Rattus norvegicus: one gene and its partners. The protein of the gene in region 3 purifies or fractionates together with the protein of the main gene of each other region. This does not show direct contact. Links are inferred from orthologs where the notes say so. Each region holds a gene or a part of one and is shown on either strand. Other genes may lie near its edges.

Region 1 (7,699 bases), on a different chromosome or scaffold from region 3:
CAGCACTTTATCTCAGCTCCCTGGTGACAAGTCCAAGGCGTTCGATTTCCTTAGTGAGGAGTGAGTATTCCGAACAGAGTGCTAGAACCGGTCACCCTTACTAACTCCTCAGTCGCTGAGAGAAGTCGACTGTTTGTAGCCAGGCATAAAGGCTTATGTTAATCCAGGACTCAGGGTGCTGATGCAGGAGATCATCACCAGTTCCTTGCCAGCCTGGTCTGTACAGACAGTTCAGGCTAGCATTGGCTACACACATAAACCTGTCTTAAGAACAAAGACTATTATTTTGCGTGTTGGGGTTATGGATAGAAGTGGAAAGAAGAAAAAAAAAGGATGGTTTCTATAGCGTGGATGGATGCTTTTAAGTAAATTACCTGTAGAGCTTAGTAATGTCATTCTAAACCTGTGGAAGCTGAGGCAGGAGGATTGTAATTTTGAGGCCATCCTGAGCCACAGGGATTTGGAGACTTTGCCCCAAAATGAGTGAATGAATGAGTGAATGAATGAATGACTTGTAGCCAGCATTTCTTGTGAAAATTGCACTTTAGGACTAGTGAACTGGTTGAGCAGGTAAGAGTGCTGCCAACCTTGGTGGACTGAGATCCATCCCGGGACCTGTGTGTCGGAAGGAGAATGCACTCTTCTGGCCTCTGAGGGCACCAGGCATGCACATAGTGCACAGACATCCATGCAGGCAAAACATTCCAAACACCTAAAGAAATAATTATATCTAAGTTTAAAAAATAATCATGAGAAATGGTGTAGAATCTAGGAGTTTAGCTTAATCACCTTCCATAACAGCTGGCATTAGAAAATTCTCAGTATTTTTTAAGAAAAGAGAGATCCCAAATTACCTCAGAAGTTTATGCTTTTAAATATAACATCTGAAACGTCATAAGTTTGATGACTAATAACTCAGTTTAATACAACATGCTGCTTATTCCCTGTTGAAGGCTGGTTTCACAAACATGGAAAAATCAGCTTTGGTATAATCCTCATGAGCGCGCGTGTGTGTGTGTGTGTGTGTGTGTGTGTGTGTGTGTGTGTGTGTGTATCTGTCTGTGTCTGTGTGTCCGTCTGTCTGTCTCTGCGTCTCGGGTACAAGGCTCCAGGGTGGAGTCAAGGATGACTCAAATGCTGGATTGTTGCATTCTCATAATTAAAACTGCAAATGTCTCCTTTTAGAACTGAGGCTAGCTTAGCCTCCCGCAGAGAGCAAAAGAGAGAGCAGTATCGGCAGGTGAAGGCTCATGTTCAGAAGGAAGATGGCCGAGTGCAAGCTTTCGGTTGGAGTCTGCCTCAGAAGTACAAGCAGGTACTTGGGGATGTGATGAGCGTGTCTAGCAGGAAGTGCACACTGAGAAGAGTGTGCTTGAAAACTGTGAACTAGAGGCAACATCCTAAATTCCTCATTGCGGCCTGCTTCGATATGTTTAGACAAATTTGGAGGATATGGTCTTTCAGGCTATTTTCTAGAGCCCTAGAATGTAGTAAACATGCCAACTCCTAAAGACTAAGCACTTTTGTTTACAAACATGCATTTACGTACACATGCATGATGGTGGTTTCTGCCTCCTGCGAGCTCTCGTGCTTACTGTCTGCAATTGCTGCTTGAGTTTTGCTTATTTTTCAAGTAAGAACGACAGAATCAGACTTGACTTGATTTCAGGAGCAAGCCTGTGACAGTAATGCTACTTATGTGTCTCAGTAGTTCTGTAATCTCAGTGTTAATGGGACTTACTGATGTGTCCCCCTTAGGTAGCCAATGGTCAAGGGGAAAATAAGATGAAAAATTTACCTGTGCCTGTCTATCTCAGACCACTAGACGAAAAAGATGCGTCTATGAAGGTAAGCTGTGACATTGAAGGAGGGACTCTCAAACTCCAGTAGATTTTCCACCCCTAAAAACTGTTTAAAACTGCCTTTGTAGTAGAACAAAGCTCATTTTAACACTTGGTCATTGTTTGTATTTTGAGACGAGTCACTATATAATCCAGGCTGATTATATCCCTTTTTCTTCCATGTTTTAGTCTTGAACCTCTTTAACTCTGCCTCACTCCCCCAAGTGCGTGTGCTACCACAGTTAACCAATAATATCAGAGTATACCGAAATACCCATGGTTCTACCTTTAGTTATCTTTAAAAGGTGAAAATTTTCTTACTACTTGTAGAGAAAAAAATGACATAATAACTCTCTCCCCGCCCCTGCCTCCGAGAAGCTGTGGTGTGCTGTAGGAGTCAACTTATCCGGCGGCAAGACAAGAGACGGCGGGTCTGTGGTTGGAGCAAGTGTGTTTTACAAGGACGTTTCTGCTCTGGAATCTGAAGGCAGTAAACAGCGGAGTGCGTCTCAGAGTAGTTTAGATAAGTTGGATCAAGAACTCAAGGTAAGAGCGTAATGACACGTGACTTCCTGATTTAGGAATGTAGAACTTGAGCTCTTAAATGCAAAACTTGTTTGAGGCAACCTGTAGTGGGGATTATTGTGCACTTAGTTTCCCCAGATGTCCCTTCAACATCGATGGTATTGAGGTATTACTTACATATACTCAAGTGACTACAATTCCACTGTGCCAACTGTGTATCACCACTACTGCAAAAAAGACAGCGTTTTTTTAATTGCCAACCTGCTAATTTAACTACTAAGTTTTAATCCAGAAATACTTGTAAACAATTGTATTTTGACCCTTCCAAATAATCTTGAAATAACTTAAAATAATACTTCGTTTTAGTATAAGAACAGTCTTAAGAATATTTGCACATTCATATAATTTTAAACATTTTCCTCTGCCTACTCAGGAACAGCAGAAAGAATTAAAAAATCAAGAAGAATTGTCCAGTCAAGTCTGGATCTGTACCAGCACCCATTCAACTACAAAGGTTATCATCATTGATGCTGTTCAACCTGGCAACATCCTAGATAGTTTCACTGTTTGCAATTCTCATGTTCTGTGCATTGCCAGTGTCCCAGGTAAAGCAAGACTCCCTCCCTCCCTGTGTTCCCTGCACCTCCTTTCAGGTGGATATGGGTGTGGAGTTGTGGAAGTTGATAAGAGTTGTGTTCCTGGGCTCGTGGTTACAGACTCTATGTTCTAGTAAGAGAGAATTTAAAATAAGATGGGAAGCCATTGAATAAAAATATTTTTAACTAGTTAAAAATAGTGTGACAAATATTTAAAAATGGCACTGAGTCTTGGTGGTGGTGGTGGTGGTGGTGGCACACACCTTTAATCCCAGCACTTAGGAGGCAGAGGCAGGTTCTCTGAGTTCAAAGCCAGCCTGGTCTACCAGAGCGAGTTCCAGGATATCCTGGAACCCTGTCTTGAAAACAAATGGCAACATGTGAGGGTGGCTAATTGATAGAGAATGAGGCGCCCCCTAGATGAATTAGTACAGGAAGGCTGCCAAAGTTCTGAAATGGGTGTGTAAATTTATAACAGTGGTTCAGAAAGATTAGTCAGCCATAAAAGAAATTACACTCTTTTTTCCTGTTATTAAATAATTGTGGTTGAAACACTTTTTTCCGCCTTGAGACAAAGTCAGCCTGAACTATATAGTGAGATTGTGTCTCCAAAAGAAAACAAAAAGTCTAAGCTGACAACTTTTATATATAAAAAAAAAAAAAAAAAAAAGGAACTGCTTTAAAATGTCAAAGCTGGGTGGTGGTGGCACATTTAATCCAGAACTTGGAGGGCAGGGGCAGGTGAACCTCTGAGGCCACCCTGGGCTATAGCTCTTTCAGGCCAGGGCCACATAAAGAAAACCTTGTCTAAAAAAAAAAAAAACAGGAAGCGCAAGGCCCTGGGTTCAGTCCCCAGCTCCGGGAAAAAAAACCAAAAAAAAAACAAAAAAAACAAACAAACAAACAAAAAAAACAAAAACAAAAACATTAAATAAAGTAATATTTTTAAAGTGATAAAAATGGTTTTCCATTGTAAATGCTTAAATGTTTTTATGTCTCACTAGTATTTTAAGCCACGTATGTCTTTTAGTGATAGTACATAATAGAAGCCCATCTTAGTAATAATAGCAGTGGTAGTCTTAATAAGTTAAATACTTGGTTTGTTTTGTTCTTTTCTGTTTGTTTTGTTTGATTTTTGACACAGGGTTTCTCCGTGTAGCCCTGGCTGTCTGTTCTGAAACTCACTAGATAGACCAGGTTGGCCTTGAACCCACAGAGACCTGCCTGCTTCTGCCTCCAAGTACTAGGATTAAAGGTGTATGCCGCCCCTCATCCAGCTAAAAATAAGTTTAATGTATTTTTATTTTCTGTGTGTGAGTTTTTGCCTGTATGTATAGTGTGTGCATGTCTGCTGTCTGTGGAAGCCAAAGAAGGCATCAGATCCCCGGGAACTGAGGTTACAGACAGTTGTGAGTTGCCATATGGATTCTGGGAATTGAACCATGGTCCTCTCTGCAAGTGCTTCCATTAACCCATCTCTCTAGAACCCTCCCCCGCAAAGTTTTAAAGAAGAGTTTTGTTGCATTTTACTTAGTTTTGTGTGATAGTGGAAATGACATCATACCACAGGCGTTAGTTCTCTCCTTCCACGTAGCTCCTGGGGATCAAGTTCAAGGCCGTCAGGCCTGGCAGCAGGCACCTCTATCTGCTGAGCCATCTCACCAGCCCCCGTCCCCTGTTCCTGACTTGATATTAGATATTACTTGTCTTTAACTTCATAGAGCAAAGGTCACATTGTTTATCTCAGAGTGTGCTCTGTTCAATTTCTAGTTAGTATGAAAATTAGAAAGTTCATGTAGATAAGATCCAAGACAGTATTCCCAGGTCTTTGTTGAATACAGTGACCTACCTAAGAACTTGCTCTTGTCAAGGGGTAATGCCAGGACTAACATTGGCTCTCCTAAAAGGTATATCTATCTTGATCTTATTTGGGTCTGAGTAAATACTGTTGAAACTTGAGCTACTGATATTGCCTCTAAAATTAGATCCTTTTAGATTTAACCTATTACTACTTTGGAAAAAAAGTTAACCAATGTTATCTTGTCATTCAAACTTGATATTTCTTGTTATAATTTTAACCTTTGCCCAAATATGAAAACTACCCAGTGAACTTGGGGAGTTTCAGTAGAAAACTAGAAGGCATATGAGTTATTGGTAGGTGTTCCATTTAAGTATTGAAGTGGAAGGTCAGGTGTGGTAGCATATGCCTGTCATCCCATCCCTTCTGAAACAGAGGCAGATCAACAGTTGAAGGTCAGCCTGACCCTATAGAGCAGAACATTGTCTCAACCCCTTACCCAAAAGGATAAAAACCTGATGAAAGTATAAGTTAATGGGTGTGTTTAATAGGGTTCACTTGGATCAGTCTGTTGTTGTGTTCGTAGGGAGTAAAATCAGGTATTACACTGAATGTGATGCATAACTGACATTAATTTTTGGCCCCGTTTGTTGGCTGGTTATAGTGTATATTGGTTATTTGACCACTGATCAGTTTTCTTCTTTACTTACTGTATAAATGGTTGTTAATTCCTGAAATGGGACCCTGTTCAGTCTTTAAACTTTTTTTTTAAGATTTATTTATTTATTTATTTATTTATTTATTTATTTATTTATTTATTTTATGTATGTGAGTACACTGTGGCTGTCATCACACACACCAGAAGAGGGCATCAGATCCCATTACAGATGGTTGTGAGGCACCATGTGGTTGCTGGGAATTGAACTCAGGACCTCTGGAAGAGCAGTCAGTGCTCTTAACCACTGAGCCATCTCTCCAGCCTCCTCTTTAAACGTTTTAATTGTTTTTATTGTTTATGTGTGTGGTGTGTGAGGAGGCCGCGTATGCCATGGCACATGGATGGGGTCAGAGTACTGTGTGAGTTGATTCTCTCCTCCACCTTAAGTTCCAGGGTGCAGACTTGGGGCCCCGGGCTGGTTCAGCAGGTGCTTTGCCGGCTGAGCATCTCACTGTCACCTTTTCTGTTTTGTATGTTATGGCTTAGCCAGGTGTGATGGACACCTGTAATCTCTGCTTTTGGGAGGTGGAGACAGGAGGACCAAGACCTTTAAGGTCAGCTTTGACTATATACAGTTCAAGTCCAACATGGACCAAGGGAGACCTTGTCTCCAAAAATCACACACCCATGTTGTTATCGAACATTAATAGATCCATATTATAAATACCTTTAAATGTTTAAATAATTTGTTATTGTGTGTGGAAGTGTACACATGCCACATTCATGTACAGAAACCAGAGGAAAACTTTGCAAGTTGGTTCTTTGTTCCCACTGTGGGTTATAAGGACCAAACTCAAATCATCAAGTTTGTGCAGTAAATATGTTTTTACCTCCTGAGCCATGCTGCTGCCGGCTAGAGGTATTACCTTTAACCTGTTTTTCATTAGAATATGAATTAATAGAAATATGATTTTTACCTCTAAATTTTTCATTTTATCAAGATTTCTTTAACTCTGCATTATTGATGGTATTCTAGTAGCTGTATGGTTCACCCATATACTCTCACTTCAAACTAGAGTAGCTTTAATAGAAAGAAGCTTCTGCTTGTTTACTGGGTATTCAAAAAAAGGTTTTTTGTGTTTTGTGTTTTGTGTTTTGTTTTCAGGGGCTCGAGAGACAGACTACCCTGCAGGAGAAGAGCTTTCTGACTCTGGTCAGGTAGACAGAGCGTCTCTGTGTGGGAGCATGACCAGTAACAGCTCTGCAGAGATGGACAGCTTGCTGGGAGGCATCACAGTGGTCGGGTGCTCCACAGAAGGAGTGACGGGAGCTGCTGCTTCCCCAAGTACCAATGGTGCTTCTCCGGTGATTGAAAAGCCACCAGGTACACCTTTGAGAGTCTGAGGCTCTTTTGAGAGTCCACATTACAGATTGTCAGTCTTAAAGTAGCCGAGGTGAAAGGGCTGGAAGAAGATGCGTGCCAACCATGTTAGAGAGAGAGCTGTCCGTGTCACTATGCAGTCAGTGCCGAGGAGGGCTCATGGGTCAGAGCTCCAGAGCAGGGTGGTGTAGTGAAAGGATTGGAGTGGACAGACTCATTCAGCATAGTGTTTTATGTCTTTACAGAGGTGGAGGCTGAAAACAGTGAGATTGATGAAAACATTCCAACAGCAGAGGAAGCCACTGAAGCCACAGAGGGCAATGCAGGATCCACTGAAGACGCTGTGGACATCTCCCAGCCTGGCGTGTACACAGAACATGTGTTTACAGATCCTCTGGGAGTTCAGATCCCAGAAGACCTCTCCCCAGTGTTTCAGTCAAGGTATGCCTCCTAAATCAGTAACTTCGGGGAGTCTGCACAAATAAAAAGAATCAAAGTCCTGTCAGATAGCCAGAATACCCACTAACTGACATCCTTGGAGGGACTGAAAGATGTTTTATTCTCTCCTATGTGCTCTCTCTAGAGAGTTTTCCAAACATTTCGTCATTATATTTTCTAACTTTTTTTTTATTTTTTCTCGGATATTTTATATATTTACATTTCAAATGTTAATCCCTTTTCCCCCTTCTCCCATACCGACTACCTCCTCCCCCTGCTTCTATGAGCATGCTCCCACTCCCACCTCAACACCCTGGCATTCCCCTACACTGGGGAAGTGAGCCTTCACAGAGCCAAGGGCTTCTCCTCCTACTGATGCTGGACAATGCCATCCTCCACTACAACAGGCAGCTGGAGTCACGGGTCCCTCCCTGTGTACTCATTGGTTGGAGTACACATGGG
Region 2 (7,699 bases), about 46 Mb from region 3:
TGGCACCCACTCCTTTATAAATAAAGCTTTAATGGAACACTGCCACCCCTATTTGTTTATTCTGGTTCCTGATTGGCAGAGTAGTGGCAACGGAGACTGTGTGGCCAACAAAGCCTAACGTTTCATATTTGGCCATCTGCATTCTCTGCCAAACACAGGATGGTCTCGTCACTCAACAGCACGGGAGGCAGAGGATGTGTCCTGCCCTATCTGGTGTTGCTGTAAGACTGTCGCACACATACTGGGAGAGGAATAAAGAAAGGGAGCTCCTCGGCTCAATTCTGATGGCTGCAGAGTCCCAACAGCTTGGTACAGACATCTAGTGAGGGCCACCTAGCTGTGTCACCACATGGTAGAGAAGTGGCGGGCGGGGGGGGGGGGGCAGGACAAGGGGGGGCACATGCAAGGACCCAACATAAGGGTGAACCTCACTTTATAACAACCAGCCTTGTAGGAACTAGCCCACTCCTGTAAGATGGGCCTTGAGCCCTCCCACAGTGGTGCCCTTCTAATGACCTAATCACTTCCCTGGCCCCATCTTTTAAATGGCCTTCCTCAGGCCCAAACTCCCTGCCCGTGAACCTTGATGGATAAATCCCATGCAGCATAGCAAATGCCACAGCTGTTAGGATAGAGCTAAGAAGATAGAGCAGGGCACAAAGCCATCGTCTGTAAGCTGCAGATCTGTTAGTGTTGGTGTAGCGATGTCTTAGTTAGGATTTTATTGCTGTGAACAGACACCATGATCAATGCAAATTTTATAAAGGACAACATTTAACTGGGGCTGGCTTACAGTTCAGAGGTTTAGCCCACTGTCTTAGTTAGGGTTTTACTGCTGTGAAAAGACACCATGACCAAGGCAACTCTTATAAGAACAACATTTAACTGGGGCTGGTTTACAGGTTCAGAGGTTCAGTCCATTATCATCAAGGCAGGAGCATGGCAGCGACCAGGCAGGCATGGTGCAGGAGGAGCTGAGTTCTATATCTTCACCTGAAGGAAGTCAGGAACAGACTCCACATCCTAGGAGGTGCTCGGAGGAGGGTCTCCAAGCCCACCCTACAATGACACATCTCCAACAAGGCCACACCTTCTAATAGTGCCACTCTCTGGGCCAAGCATATCAAACCATCATCACATTCCACTCCCTGGGCCAAGCATATGCAAACCATCACAAATGATGTTGTCCACACAATACTCAGGCCAAGCCACCAGACTACCAGAGCTGAGCATGGTCTTTCTGCTTAGGCTTTTGTGTTTGTTTCCCGTTTCTGTAACAAATACCTGGGATAAATTATAAAGAAAGGTTAGCTGGGCGATGCTAACACATGCCTTCAATCCCAGCATTTGACGGGGCAGAGGCAGGCAGATAAAAGGAAAAGGAGAAGAAGAAAAGGGAGGGAGGAAGGAAGGAAGGAAGATTTGTGTTGGCTCATGATTTTAGAATATCAGCAGGTTGCATGGCCCTGGTGCTCTAGACCTGTGACAGCTTGGTACATCATTGTGGGAGCACAAGGCAGAGGAGGTCTCTTTACCTAATGGTGACCAAGAAACTCAAGGCTGGGGTCCTAATGTGTCCAACTGTAAGGCCGTGTCTCCATGACCTTAGTTTCTTCCCCTAGGTTCTAATTCATACTTAGGCTATGCCACCCTAAGTACCATGATAGGCTGGGAACTAAGCCTTCAACACATGGACCTTTGGGGACATAAAAAACAGAGCACTTCCTTCTGCACCTGTGGCTTTAGGCTCTAGGGAAACCAAAGCGGATGTGCCCCAACCCAGCCTTGGAGAGGCAGCTCACACACGTGCTTGTGACAAGTGCTATAGAAGAACCCAAGGGCTGTAGACACAAACCCTGAGGAGAATTTCCTCAGACTTCACATAGATCATTCAGGATGGGCCTGAAAGGCTGGACAGGAGTTTGCCAGGCAGAGGAAGTATGTTGGATTCATTCTAGATAAAGAAAGGACTCATCTCTATGAAAAGATATCCATCCAGAGTCCACTTAGAGCCGGGCATTGTACAAGGCCCTGAAGTAGAGCAGTGACCCCAAAGGAAGGCCCTGCACCAGCGAGGCAGCAGTAGCAAAGACCTTGTTGAAGTGCACTGGTGTGAGCTACGGGGCTGTATGTGGGCTCTGATTCCTGTCCTGTTCCTCTCAGGGGCTGATCATGTCAGAGGACACTACAGAGCCCCTAGTGGGGCCCAGCATCCTCTGGAAGGACCTCAGGGTGCTCCTGCCAGACACAGAGGAGGAGCTGAAGCTGGATCTCAGTGAGAAGGTGGACAGGAGCGTGGCTACGCTGCTACGGCAGGCTTTGGGTCTGTTCTATGAAGGCCGTTGGCAGAAGTGCCTGCAGGCCAGTGAGGCTGTCCTGGACTACTCCTGGGAAAAGCTCAACACTGGTCCCTGGCGAGATGTAGACAAGGAATGGCGCCGGGTATATTCCTTCGGCTGCCTCCTGAAGACCCTGTGCCTGTGCCAGGCACCACAGAAGGCCACTGCTGTGGCTGAAGCACTGCGGGTGTGTGACATGGGCCTGTTGATGGGGGCAGCCATCCTTGGGGACATTCTTCTCAAAGTTGCTACAGTCCTCCAGACACATCTGCTCCCTAGAAAGCAGCCTGCCTGTGGCCCTCACCAGGATCAGCCTGCTACCAAGGTGGGTCACTATTGAAAGCTGAACCATCCGGCAGCCCAACCCATCTTCTAGAAGAATCCAGTCCAATCCCAGGACAGTGTCAGACAGGTAGCCTCTCTGCCAAAAGAGCATCATGTGGATTTGGGGAATTAGCAGCTGCAAAGGCAGTGCCCTTTTTAGAGGGGGAGGTGGCAGCTTTCTTAATCTAAAAAAAGTGCTCTGAAGGAAATTCAGCATGCCTTCTCATCACCTAGTCTTGGAGAGATACCCAGCGTGTTCTGTCCCTCCAGTCCTCATGGAGGTTGGCCATGGTGTTTAAGTGTCTCATAGTTCCTTCCAAGCCTAGAGCACAGCTTACCCCGAAGGCTGCAGACACATAGTCCTTACCAAGCTTCCACTGGGTGAGCCAGAGACCATTTCCTTTGGGCCTCAGTGTCCTCATCTGTAGGTTGTCAGATAAATCCTGAGCCTCAGAGAGGAAGGGCTGGGGCTGTGATGGGTGCCAGCTATGGCATTCTGGACTGTTTGACATGTATTTCTCAGTGCTTTCCTGCAGTTTTAGAATGTCCTGTTGGGTGTGACTTATGAGTAAGATAGATGTCATTAGCACTCACTCTTCAGGACTGTTGTCACCACAGTGCTCTAAGACTGTGACATGGTCAGGAAAAGGGACCTTGAGTTCATGAAAACAAACGGTATAGAAACGTTATCTACTACTGGGTGTGGTGGGCACTCTGGAATCTGAGGCGGGGGATTCTGGGTTCAAGGTCATTCCAGGCTTCCTACTGAGACCCTGTCTCAAAAACATAAAACACAGCTCCATGTAGCGGTGAGCACCCTTACCCTGTGCACGTGGGCGGCAGAGGCAGGTGATGTCTGTGAGGTTGAGGCCTGCTAGACAAGTTGAGACCCTATCTCAAAGCAAGACGAAGCACAGGACTGAGAAGATGCTTCAGACAAGAGCCGGTCACACACGTAGGAGCACTGGAGTTTGATCCCTAGGACAATGTAAAAACTTGGCATGGTGGCATGTTCTTGTCAAACCATAGCTGGGCAAGTGGAGTCAGGGGGACCCCAAGGCCTTGCTACCCAGCCAGCCTCACTTGAATCAGTGAGCCCCAGGCCAGGGGGAAAACCCCATTTCAGTAAGGAGGATGTGCATGGTACAGAGGAACAGCCAAGGTCCATCCTCTGCCACACATATGTGCACACAAATAACTGCCATCTGCTGTTAACGCTACCCAAGACATCCTGCCACTAACGCAGATTTCAGACAGTCGCCATCTTGCTTTGTTTATATTCTGAACAGAAGGCAAAGCATGATGCCAGCTCAACTCCTGATGTGGTATTAGATCGGGAAGTGCCCAGGCTTCGCTGCCCACCTCTGCAGCACTTCAAGAAGCATTTTCTAGTTCCTGGGAGACCTGTGATCTTGGAAGGTGTGGCTGACCACTGGCCGTGCATGAAGAAGTGGAGGTGAGTAGCCACTGTGGGGACCTGAGGTCCTTCCTCCTGAGTGTCCCCAGGACTCCTCAAAGGTCTCTTTTGGCCACTCATACATCACTGCCCCAGACCTTCAAAACCCCTTGATTGATTACAGAGGATTAATGAAGACTTTAAAGTGGGATACCCTAGGGCTCGCAAGATGGCTAAAAAAACCTAGTGGCCTGAGTTTAAATCCCAATCCCAGGACCCACACAGGTAGAAGGAGAGAACCACAAAATTGTCTTCTGGCCTCCACATATGACACAGTGGCATGTCTAACTTCCTGCACATGGAATAATAGTTTTTAAATTAACAAAACATTTAACGGGCCATCCTAAGTGTGTGCAGTGGTCTAAGCTGTCACTGACGTACACTTACCCTGAGCATATCCTTGCAAGCGCCTGAGTAACAGGCTCAGAGAGCTGTTAGGTGCTCATGCAAGATCTCAGAGATCCTACTGCTCTTCCTTCTCTGGGCCTGAGGCCATGACTGCAATCACCTAGGAGTGGCTCCCACTAGGATTCAGAATGAGGCCACACTAATGTTTCCTGTAAGGATTGGAGAATCCAGACATTTCGCCTTCCACAGGAGTCATGTAAAAGTACCCTGAGTGCCCTGAGACAACTGTAGCTGACAGGAGTGGGTGGAGTCAGGTCGGCCTGCTGTGAGTTTGTGGAGGAAGTAGCCCCTGCTCCAGTGAGGAAGAATTCTGTGAGAGCCACAGCAGAACAGTCATGCTCCAAATGGGGGCAGGTTCTGGCATCACCTCCTTTAACAGATGGGGAACAGGGTCTCGGGAAAGGTAACTCACTGAAGGGTCTCCTACTCACCCAGGCTATCAGAGTTCAGAGTCTGCATTCATCACCTCCCCATCCCATACTGCCTTCCACTCATCCCAAGGTTTCTCAGCAGTGACAGAGGAAAGTGAGGAGTCAGCAGGATTGTGGATGGCAGAGGTGGTAAGGAGAGTCCGTGTGGTCTCAGGCATGCAGCCTCACCTCTGTATTGTGAGAACAGTCGGGAGAGCAAAGGCAACAGTCGTCTCCACCTCATGAGGTTTTGCATGAAGAGAACAAAGGAAACCATTCCTAGATGTCCTAGATGCATGCTGACACTATGGTGACATTTTTTGTAGTCTACAGTACATCCAGGAGATTGCTGGCTGCCGCACTGTCCCCGTGGAAGTGGGTTCAAGATACACAGATGAAGACTGGTCCCAGACTCTCATGACAGTCAATGAGTTCATCCACAAATACATTCTGAGCGAGGTATATGCAAGTCACTGTATAACAGATGCTCAGTGTGGCTGAACTTAAGGCACGCCATGTTCACCTCAGCACGGTTTTTAAAACAGCTTCCAATGAAAAGCAGCAGCACTTGTCTGTGCGCTACTCCTGCAAGAAGCTGCAGGGGCTGGTGGCCCACTCAGAACAGAGATGCTTCCTAGGCCCTAAGTCTCCTGCCCTTCAGCTCTGTCCTGCCTGGGAGGTCACTGACCACATCAGACCCCAGGGTGGGGAAGGGGCCACACGGGACAGTGGTGGGTGGGGCCAGGGCCAAGACTCAGCATCCAGCTAAGCAACAGGGCCATCAAGAGACGCTTGACACAAACTAACTGATGGTCACCTCTGTTTTTCTCCTCTGGGTCAGGCAAAGGATGTCGGGTACCTTGCTCAACACCAGCTGTTCGACCAGGTGAGTCTGGGACCATGTTCCTGCCCTGCTCCTCTGCTCCCAGGAAACACACACGGCTATCTTCTGGTGCTACGCTTTGGAGCAAGGGTCTCACTGATTATCACAGGTAGCAGTGTGAGGCAAACGGAACTGCCAGGCTTGAGAGATTGAGTATGCTGAGGCTGGGGGCCCAGTTTGGATCCTCAGGATGACCTGTCAAAGACTTAACAGTGCACCTTGGCTGAGCTGGAGTGGGATTGGGTGGGAGAGTATTCCCGTTAAGAAACATCCCAGCCCCAAAGCTTTAGGAAATTGTGGAGACCACCAGCTGGGAGGTTATACTCCGAGTGGGAGAGCCAGGTGTTAGAGGCCTAAAAGGCCAGACAGGATTCTGGATTTAATCTGGAAATGATGGGTTCGGTGAGGCTCCTGATGAGCAACAAGATCCCCAGCAGTGTTACAAATAAATGCATGTTTTCTGGACAGAGCAGGTACTGCTGCCCAGAGCACCCTTAGGGGCAGATTACCTGCCCCTCCTGGTGTTCACCCACTGCCACCCAACACATCATCAGCGGGTATGACCATCACTGTGGGAAAACAGACTATGCATTGGCAGCTACACTGCCTTTCCATTGTGAGCTGCCTGTACCTGGGTGTGGTGCACACACCTTGAATCTAAGCACTTAGAGGCTGAGCTGCATAAGGAGTCCTTCCAAGCTGGCTGGTTAAGATACAGAGGCTGTGGCAGAGGCCCATCCTGACCCAGGCTAGAAGGCAAAGCTGCTGTTATCTTTAGGGTGAGGCAGAACAGTGTACAGCTATCCCCAGGCAGATTGGCTGCCCCTCCGCACTCATCTTCCCCTGCTGTTCTGAGCACCTCAAAGAGGCGTTTGAGCAGCCATGTGTCCTGGAGACAGGGCACGGCTGTTTCTAGGACCTCTGTGCCTATAGACACAGCTTGGGCTATTGACAAGCACTTGCCAGGAACCCTGCACCAACTTTCCTCCCAATGCAGTGTCTCAGAAGCCTCTGGCCACTGCCTTGGACTTGTCAATAATCATATCCGTGGAGCACGTGTTTTCTGATATCTAGCCAACCAATCACCCTTCAGAATTCCCAATGACATCATCAGGAACCAATCAGAGTTACGCTCAGTATCCAGGGGCAAGGCTTAGTGCCATTCAATCAAAGCAGTAATGTGGTATGCTAGGAGCCTGGGGTACTAGCCACATTGGATTGTGGCCTATCTAGTTTGACTCACTTGCTAATAAGACCCAAGTCCTTCCTCATCACTAATTTGCTTCTGAGAACCTGCTTTAGTCCCCTGGTGGACTTGGTCCCAAGGTTCTCTTTTCTGGCTTCTGAACACTGTTCAAGAAACTACTTTCTTCTCAGAGTAAGTTTAGTACAAAACCTACTTTGCCAGTCTTTGTAGTAATTTACTTAAAATATACCAGTTGTGATCTCAATGGTAGTAATTTTTTGAAAATAATCCTCCAGAGATCTGATAAATACCTAGTACAGTGGACTTCACAGGATTTTTTTTTTTTTTTAAATAAGATCTGTGTCACCATGCTTACCTCCTGGGTCATGCTTGTCATGCTCCTGCCTTAGCTTTCCAAGAGCTGAATTGGGGGGTAGGGGAGCTTTTTTTTGTTTGTTTGTTTTGTTTTGTTTCTGGTGGTGGTAACTTAACTCTTGCCTGGTGTGGTGATTCATGCCTTAATGCCAGCAGAGGCAGATGGAGTTCTGTGAGTTTAAGGCCACCCTAGTCTATGTGGTGAGATCAGGCCAGCAAGAGCTACAGAGTGAGCCCATCTCAAAACAAAAGAAAATATTACTCATTAGTAAATGACAGTATTAACACCTTTTTTTAAAAAGTATAATGCAACAATAC
Region 3 (8,199 bases):
GGAAGAGGTGGAGGATCGAGGTACCGTGGTTGCCCAGGGAGGGGGCAAGGTAAGCTGGCTTCTGACTCCTTTCTGATCCTGAGCCATCCACCTATAAAGCATGACTCAGTGGCTCTGGCTTGGAGGACACTAATAGTGACCAGATGCTTCTGTGGACAGGCGCCCCAGAGTCCTTTGGGGCCATAAAGGTCCTGCGTTTGCCTCCTTTTCCCTCTTTGGCCCCGGGGCCCAGCACAACCCATGTTTAGTACCTAATAGGTGGTTGAGGAAGTGTGGGTGGTTTTAACGAGAGACCTCAGAATGAGGGAGAGTCTGAGCGGGAGTATTCTCAGGCCCATGGAAAGAATGAGAGGAAGGGTGCAGTCAGGATCGATGCTAGACTGGGCACTGACAGGGCTGGGGCTGTTTGATAGGCTCTGCTCCCGCTGGCCCTGGAGGGCACCGACGTCGGGCAGACGAAGGCAGCACAGGCTCTTGCTAAGCTCACCATCACCTCCAACCCAGAGATGACCTTTCCTGGTGAGCGGGTACGTGAATCCTTGCTCTGCCTGTGGCCCTCCTGTTCCTTCATTCTGCCCTGATGGCCCCCGTCCTGGTCTCCCTCTCATGACCAACAGGAAGTGGCGGTATTGCTGAGTCCTGGGGTAGAGGACAGTCACAGAGCCACTGTCTTGGGTGGGCTCCCTGCTGGGGGTCCCTGGAGTTGCATGAGCACTGATGTGTGGGGTTCTATCACAGATCTACGAAGTAGTCCGGCCCCTTGTCTCTCTGCTGCACCTCAGTTGCTCAGGACTGCAGAACTTTGAGGCCCTCATGGCCCTAACGAACCTGGCCGGGATCAGTGAGAGGCTTAGGTAAGGTCCTATGCAGCTTGGCACAGGGATTTGGGTGAGCCCCAGTTACTCACGCTGGAGTTTGGAAGACAGTTCCTGGTCATTCTGTGTGCCTCACAATGACTCCTCTGCCACATACAGAGGACACAGTCATGCCAGGGGTGGCAGGGTGAAGCGCTGGGGCCCTGACTCTGCCCACTACATCCTCCTCCTCTCCTCAGACTGCTGACACTCACTGGCTCACTCACCCTAAGAAAGTCTTTAAGTCATTCTGCCTCAGCTTCCACTCAGAGTTAGTTAGGTATCTAACTGTGGAGTAGTAGCATGGAGAGATGGCTGAGAAAATGCTTATAAAACCCTTCATCAGGCACAAGTGGTGGCTCATGCCAAGGGAGGAAGATTGGCTGTGAGTTCTAGGCCAGACTCCCCAACCTCTCCTGAAAGCCCTTAGTTCCTAGGTATCTGGCCCTGGCAGTAGTCACAGTGAATGTGTATTAGTTGTTAGTACTGTGACCTTGAACACATGACTCACCATGCGGCCCAGTTTCTGCTTTGGCTAAATAGAGACGGTAGCCACCACTATACATGGAGTAAGGTGAACATTAAGGAAGATAATTCAAGCCTGGGGCTATGATGAGCGTCAGGTGAAACAGTTCAGGCAGCTTGGGCAGGTTCAGAGCTCAGATGATTGATGTTTACCGAGCTATCTTCATAACCACCCTGCTTTGCTAAGTTCCAGGACGCTCAACACCCCCATGCTGTGTGTAGCCAGGCCAGAAGGCTAGAAAGCTCTGCAGTTCATAACCCACACAGGAAAGCCTGTGGGCACTGCTAGGGGAGCGCCTCAGCTCAGGGCACAGCCACCTGGGGTAGTGTGGTACAGGATGATATGGAGACTCTAGTCACGTGTGCCAACTTGTCCTGCAGACAGAAGATCCTGAAGGAGAAGGCCGTGCCCATGATTGAGGGCTACATGTTTGAGGAGCATGAGATGATCCGCCGGGCAGCTACAGAGTGCATGTGTAACTTAGCCATGAGCAAAGAGGTGAGGGTCGGTCCAGCTAGTCACCGTGACAGAGATGCCAGCGGCCCTGCACTTTGAGCACACTGTGGGCCGAGGTAGCAGGGTCCTCTCCCCGTCTGTTCGCAGGTACAGGATCTCTTCGAAGCCCAGGGCAACGACCGGTTGAAGCTGCTGGTGCTGTACAGCGGAGAAGATGATGAGCTTCTGCGGAGGGCTGCTGCCGGTGGCCTGGCCATGCTCACCTCCATGCGGCCCTCACTCTGCAGCCGTATCCCACAAGTGGTTAGTTGCCTGTTCTTGTGGGGGGCATGGAGGAGGGTGAGGGAACTAGCAGTTCCTCACATGGTAGCATCGCTCTTCTGTTGGGGAGCTCCCAGGGTACAGATGTGTTTTCTGCCAGAGTCGAGCCTGTTGCTAGGTCTTCACACCCACCATTCCCTACAGACCACGCACTGGCTGGAGATCCTGCAGGCCCTGCTTCTGAGCCCCAATCCGGAGCTGCAGCACCGGGGCACTGTCGTGGTGCTGAACATGATGGAGTCCTCGAAGGAGATCGCCAGCACCCTGATGGAGAGCGAGGTCCTGGAGATCCTGTCAGTGTTGGCCAAGGGCGAGGAGAGCCCAGTCACCAGGGCTGCTGCAGCCTGTCTGGAGAAAGCCGTGGAATATAGACTTATCCAACCCAACCAGGATGGGGAGTGAGGTTCTGCCCTGGACCCACAGCTCATGTGTCTGCTACCCATCACAGCTCTGAGAGTCAGGATAGAAGCAGCGTGGCCAACAGGACTGGGATGCTGGACACTGGCCTTCCTCCCCAGCTGCACTTTGGTGTTCTCTATCCTGGGGACACGCACCACACAGCCCTGCCCTGCCAGCACTCAGAAGGGCCCTGTCTGTACTGTAGAGAGCTGGGAATGGGGAGCACGCATCCCATTCAAGTCTGTGGATTATGGGCATCAAGAAGGAAGGGCACAGTAGCATCCTCACAAGCCGGGAGCATCACCAGAGCCTGCCAGCAGGCTAGTCCCTCTAATAAATCATGTGGAACTAAAGCTCAAGTTTGTTGTGTAGGCGGGGCTGCTGAGGGTGGGACGCTCTGGAGCTGCAGCCTAGTGTGCTTCCCCTGTAAGGAAAGGAAGCCAGTGGGCACATGGAGAATCTGTAGACAAGGCCTTAATATGGGTAAGTCAGGCTGGCTTCAAACTGACGATCCTTTCTCAGCCCTTAAGAGTAGTGCGGGGCTGGAGAGATGGCTCAGTGGTTAAGAGCACTGACTGCTCTTCCAGAGGACCTGAGTTCAAATCCCAGCAACCACATGGTGGCTCACAACCATCTGTATTGAGAGCTGATGCCCTCTTCTGGTGTGTCTGAAGACAGCTACAGTATACTCATATGAATAAAATAAATCTTAAAAAAAAAAAAAAGTAGGGGTTGGGGATTTAGCTCAGCGGTAGAGCGCTTGCCTAGCGAGCACAAGGCCCTGGGTTCGGTCCCCAGCTCCGAAAAAAAAGAAAAGGAAAAAAAAAAAAAGTAGTGGGAATTACAGTTGCCGTCACCCAGCCTGGGTTCTTTGTACGCCCTGGTGAGTTAGCCTGAAGCTTAGGAAACATATTTCAATGTGTTATGCTGACCCTTGGACACATTTATCATGATATTGTGAGTTTTCTGTGATCTCTACTAGGTCTGTGTTTGGGATTTGGGGTTGGTGTGCCCTTCTCTCGGGAAAAATATGTTTCTGTAGCTGTGTCTTACTGAAGGAGAAGCGCGGCCCAAATAGGATCTCTGGCTGAGAACGCCTGTCTCTTAGAGGGGTCCAAACTTGGGACTCATTGGCTCAGTAGAAGTAAATGACAGAGCCTGGGCCAATCAGTGAAGGCACTAATACTACCGCTTCCTGTCTGGATATCAGTCCTAAGCTTGTTCAGTAGGAACCGCCTCCTTCCTTGTTCAAAGGGAATGGAAGGAGTCAGGATTTGGTCTGTGCCCACCGTTCCCCTCGGATCTTCCTGAGTATTCAGTGGTTCCAACCGCGTCCACTGTCGGCGCCCATCGGAGACTTCGGCACACTGTCCGGAGCAGCCCGAATTGGCTTGGCAAAGGGCAGGTAATCCGGCGCATGTGTGCACGTCAGGCGGGCCCCGTGGTGACGTCATCGCTCGTGCCTGCGATTGGCTCAGAAAAGCTGCCGCATCCAATGACCGCTTTGCTTGGCGCGGGGGCCCTTTAAACACGTTCTGCCCCGCCGCCGGTCTGTTCGGAGCTGTGCGCTACTATGCGTTTGCCATTTCCAAGGTTTCCCGCTTAAAGGGCTTTCCTGATGAGTTGAGGGTACAAGGAAACGGGGAAGGTAAAAGATTCCCTTGGTTGGGGGATCCAGGAGCTGTGGTCTCAGGTCTGACTTAAGAGGCTTTAGAGTGTCTGTAAAATTCTGATCCAGTCCAATGAAGTGGCGTTGCATTTGGAACAGTGCGACTGTCTCCCTGGGGCCCATAGTCACTGAATTAAGCCAAAGGAAAGGCGCAACAGATTTCTTGAAAGAATAAACTATCAAGTAAGGTCCAGTGGAAATTTTCCAAATGCCTCTGAAACCCGGTAAGAGCCAATGGTCATTTTCGTCGTTAAATGCTACTGCATTTATTAAGCTAAGACTGTTGCCACTTTAATTTTGATTTGTATTTATTGCGAACAATTATGCCAAGTAGATACAAGCACTGCTGTTCCCACCCGCTTTGTAAAACGGAAGCTATGCAGTAGGATTTGGGTGCACAGGCACACACACAGGCCCCAGGTATTTATTCTGTCTGTTGGGATGAAGCTTATAAACCCACAGGACTTGACTCAGCTCTGTACTTGCTGTGTGACTTGGGGTTAAAGTTCCAGCTAGGGATCTGGAGCAGTGGGCTTCAGATCCTAGTGCTGCATCTGGTCTCCCACTTAAATACCTCACCGTTCCCTGCGGTAGGGGTAATAGGTTCTGGGTTGCAAAGAAAGAGACCACTGTTAAGGCCTAGGTGGAATGTTAGACCTAGGTAACTGTAACTTGGCTAGCCTGCCATTTAAGGAAACTTTCTCATAGGTTTCTGTTCTCAGGAAACTCTGTAAGGCTAAGGCTGACTATATGTTCTGTTCTGTGTCCTTGGAAACCAGTCACTTTAGAAGTCAGTAGAATTGCTTTGTGTAGTTAACCACAGTAAGCTTGGATCCAAAGCAACCACCAAGCAGAACTTCCTGCTCCTGTGTATAAGCTTTTATGGTATAAACTGCCCCTGGGCTAGACCCCAAGATAAGAGAGACACATGCGCCAATAAAAGAAACTATTTGGAATAAGACTTCTGAGTAGGGGTCAAGTAAAGTTTGAGTCCCAAGACCTCCCTGGGAACCGCCATCCTACTTTGCAGAAAGAAACATGTACGTGGGTAACTGACATCTTTCATGGCAAGTTAAGGCATAAATGTTAGACAAGTCCTGTCCTGGTAGACAAGTTAAGACATGAACATTAGACAAGGCAAGTCCCCTGACACAGTCGTATTCCCAGCCAATGGGAGCCAGGATAAGTGTGTAGCAAAGACGTGTTCCTGAGGACGTCCCCTATCCCTAAATTCTGTTTGGTGGAATAATTTGGCACAGATGTTTGTGGAATTTAGACTTAAAAACCCTGTAGAATCCTAACTTGGGGTCACAGTTCATTTGCTGAACGTGGACTGTGGCACTGGTTGGTCAGTCCTGGGGCAAATGCTCAATAAACTCTCCCTGTCTGGCAGAGATTGGTGTTCGTGTGGTTTGTGAGGCGACTCCAGGACCCAAACAAGCACTTACGCTGGGAAGAGCAGAAAACAGAGACAGGAACACACTTGGTTTTCCTCTTTCCCACCTGGCTGGGGTCTGACCTCTCAGTAGTATTCCTTGACTGGTCTTTCTGATGTTTTGAGACAAGGTCTCTTATTATGTAGCCCTGACTGTCTTATAACTTGCTCTGTAGACCAGGCTGGCCTCAAACTCACAGAAACCCACTTGCCTCTGCCTCCCAAGTGCTGGAATTAAAAGTGTGCACCACCACACCCTGCCCTAAATTGGGTAGTCTTGCAAGACTTAGTGCACAGGAAACGAAGGAGAAAAGAGGAAAGGGTCACTGGTCATGGGACTTTGAGAAAACAAAAGATTTACTGGTTTGTGTGTGTATGTGTGTAACATTTTCAAAATAGTCTTATGGGGTACAGGGAGATAAAGAAGATTGGTGTTGAAGTAGTGGCGCATGCCTTTGATCTCGGCACTCAGAAGGCAGAGATGGGGAAGTCTTCGTGAGTTTGAAGCCAGGCTGTTCTACATAGTGAGTTCCAGGACAGCAGGGACTTGCATAGAAAGACCTTGTCTCAAAATAAAAAGGGGATAGAGAAGCTCAGTGGTTAAGAGCACTGCTGTTCTTGCAGAAGACCTGGGTTCAATTCTAGCACCCATGTGATAGCTCATAACTCCAGTACCAGGGGATCTGATGCCCTCTTCTGCCCTTTAGTAACTCCAGACACAAACATGGTACACAGGCAAATGTGAAGGAAAAACATCTAAATATTTTATTATTTTATTTTATGTGCATGCTGTTTTGCCTGTGTGTATGTCTGTGTAAGGGTGTAGGAAGCCCTGGAACTGGTGTTACGGACAGGTGTGAACTGCCATGTGAGTGCTAGGAATTGAACTTGGATCCTCTGGGAGTGCAGCCAGGGCTCTTAACCATAGAGCCATCTCTCCAGCCCAAAATAATAATTATCTTTTTTTTTTATAATTATCTTTTTTTAATCACTTTAAAAAAAGGATTTGTTTTATATGTGTCTGACTACACTGTTGCTGTCTTCAGGCACACCAGAAGAGGGCATTGGGTCCCATTACAGATGGTTGTGAGCCACCATGTGGTTGCTGGGATTTGAACTCAGGACCTCTGGAAGAGCAGTCAGTGCTCTTATCCGCCCCGAATACAAGTTTTATAGTGTTTGACAGAAAAGACGCATACTTAATATTTCTTACAGTGGGATACTGGATTTGAGCCAAAAGTGGAAGAAAGAAGCAGTCAGCTGCAGACCGTTCAATAGTCGCAAATCCAGTAGGACCTTTGGCCAAAGCTCCTCTCAACAGACAATAGTGGGATGAACTCCCTTTGCCCCAGTGATTAAGATGGTAGCCAGTCTCTATTTTACAGATAACGCGGCTGCAGCCCCTTGAAGGCGAGATTCGCCAGTGTTCCTGAGGTGTCCTGTTCGTGAGACTCTCCTTGGGTTGTAGCCTTAATCTTGCACCCCAGCCAAGTGGCCGCCACCCACAGAGGCCTCAACCTGAACATGGCCGAGAAACGGCAAGGAGCCTGGTTCGGCTTTGGTTTCTGTGGCTTTGGGCAAGCGCTGGGCTCTGGGAACGGCCAACATGCAGTGCACAGTCCTGAACCACTGCATGCTGCTGACGATGTTTGCCAAGTGAGCGCAAGCTGGAGCTACACTGCCCTGGTGACTCGTGAGTACCCTTACAACCCCAACTCCGGGCCTGTCCCCTCTACCTGCCCAGCCCTTCTTAACTTGCCTGTCCAGAAATACCCTACACCCTTACTCTGGCAACCTTGAGCCCATGGCATGTGTCCCACCCCACTCTACCCACACAGGCGGAGGCCGGGTGGAACTGTCAGGCTCTGTGAGCTGTGCAGCAGACGGCTGCAGGGATGTGTGGGCGTCGGAGGGACTCCTGGTGGTGCAGCGCAACAAGAGTGGGTCCGGCACGGAACTGCAGGCCTGGGTACCAGGTTCCGCGCTACAGGGGGAGCCCCTTTGGGTCCAGAACTTAGCTTCTGGGGCAAAGGCCCAAGGGGAAGATGAACCCGGCAGTGAGCCTAGGATGGGGACGCTGCCGTTGCTGCCCTGCGCCCGTGCCTATATGACCCCACAGCCTCCCTTCTGCCAGCCTCTGGCCCCAGAGCTGCGGGTGCGCCAGCTGCAGCTGGGTGCGGAGCACGCGCTGCTGCTGTGCGAAGCTGGCCAGGTGTTCTCCTGGGGCGGGGGCAGGTGAGGACGGGCTGGGTATGACGTGGGGACGCTCAAGGAGGTGCTCCCTCGAATGTATCTGTAACCGATTAGGGACTCCTTTGACCAGGCATGGACAGCTGGGTCACGGGTCGCTGGAGGCAGAACTAGAGCCAAGGCTGTTGGAGGCACTGCAAGGCCTACGGATGGCTGAGGTGGCCGCAGGTGGCTGGCACTCTGTGTGTGTGAGTGGTGAGTGACCTGGGGTGTCTCCAAATAAGTGGGGATCTTGGCCACTCCTTCTTGTTCTGTTTTTGTGGGTGGGTCTAGCCCAGGCCTCGTTCCA

What was found. The genes of interacting proteins can lie anywhere in the genome.
Region 1: the proteins of Rccd1 (region 3) and Spag9 purify together in Homo sapiens (affinity purification with mass spectrometry; 3 studies listed by BioGRID and IntAct, counting the BioPlex papers as one, with this or other methods). This does not show direct contact. The link is inferred for Rattus norvegicus from reciprocal best matches to the Homo sapiens genes RCCD1 and SPAG9.
Region 2: the proteins of Rccd1 (region 3) and Kdm8 purify together in Homo sapiens (co-immunoprecipitation; 3 studies listed by BioGRID and IntAct, counting the BioPlex papers as one, with this or other methods). This does not show direct contact. The link is inferred for Rattus norvegicus from reciprocal best matches to the Homo sapiens genes RCCD1 and KDM8.

What each region holds. Positions count from the first base shown.
Region 1 is NC_086028.1:79,539,495-79,547,193, forward strand, and holds part of Spag9 (C-Jun-amino-terminal kinase-interacting protein 4), read left to right. Parts: coding exon 1-60; intron 61-1,185; coding exon 1,186-1,315; intron 1,316-1,758; coding exon 1,759-1,848; intron 1,849-2,219; coding exon 2,220-2,387; intron 2,388-2,799; coding exon 2,800-2,971; intron 2,972-6,583; coding exon 6,584-6,802; intron 6,803-7,044; coding exon 7,045-7,240; intron 7,241-7,699. UniProt on the Homo sapiens protein: The JNK-interacting protein (JIP) group of scaffold proteins selectively mediates JNK signaling by aggregating specific components of the MAPK cascade to form a functional JNK signaling module.
Region 2 is NC_086019.1:189,449,149-189,456,847, forward strand, and holds part of Kdm8 (bifunctional peptidase and arginyl-hydroxylase JMJD5), read left to right. Parts: intron 1-2,163; 5' UTR 2,164-2,172; coding exon 2,173-2,664; intron 2,665-3,952; coding exon 3,953-4,119; intron 4,120-5,263; coding exon 5,264-5,396; intron 5,397-5,778; coding exon 5,779-5,823; intron 5,824-7,699. UniProt on the Homo sapiens protein: Bifunctional enzyme that acts both as an endopeptidase and 2-oxoglutarate-dependent monooxygenase.
Region 3 is NC_086019.1:143,685,893-143,694,091, reverse strand, and holds the start of Rccd1 (RCC1 domain-containing protein 1), read left to right. Parts: upstream 1-3,274; 5' UTR 3,275-3,961; intron 3,962-3,974; exon of another isoform or gene 3,975-4,449; intron 4,450-7,045; 5' UTR 7,046-7,184; coding exon 7,185-7,353; intron 7,354-7,498; coding exon 7,499-7,895; intron 7,896-7,983; coding exon 7,984-8,105; intron 8,106-8,199. Other genes in the region: Unc45a (protein unc-45 homolog A), read left to right, coding at 1-49, 414-527, 739-854, 1,761-1,878, 1,984-2,139, 2,302-2,559. UniProt on the Homo sapiens protein: Plays a role in transcriptional repression of satellite repeats, possibly by regulating H3K36 methylation levels in centromeric regions together with KDM8.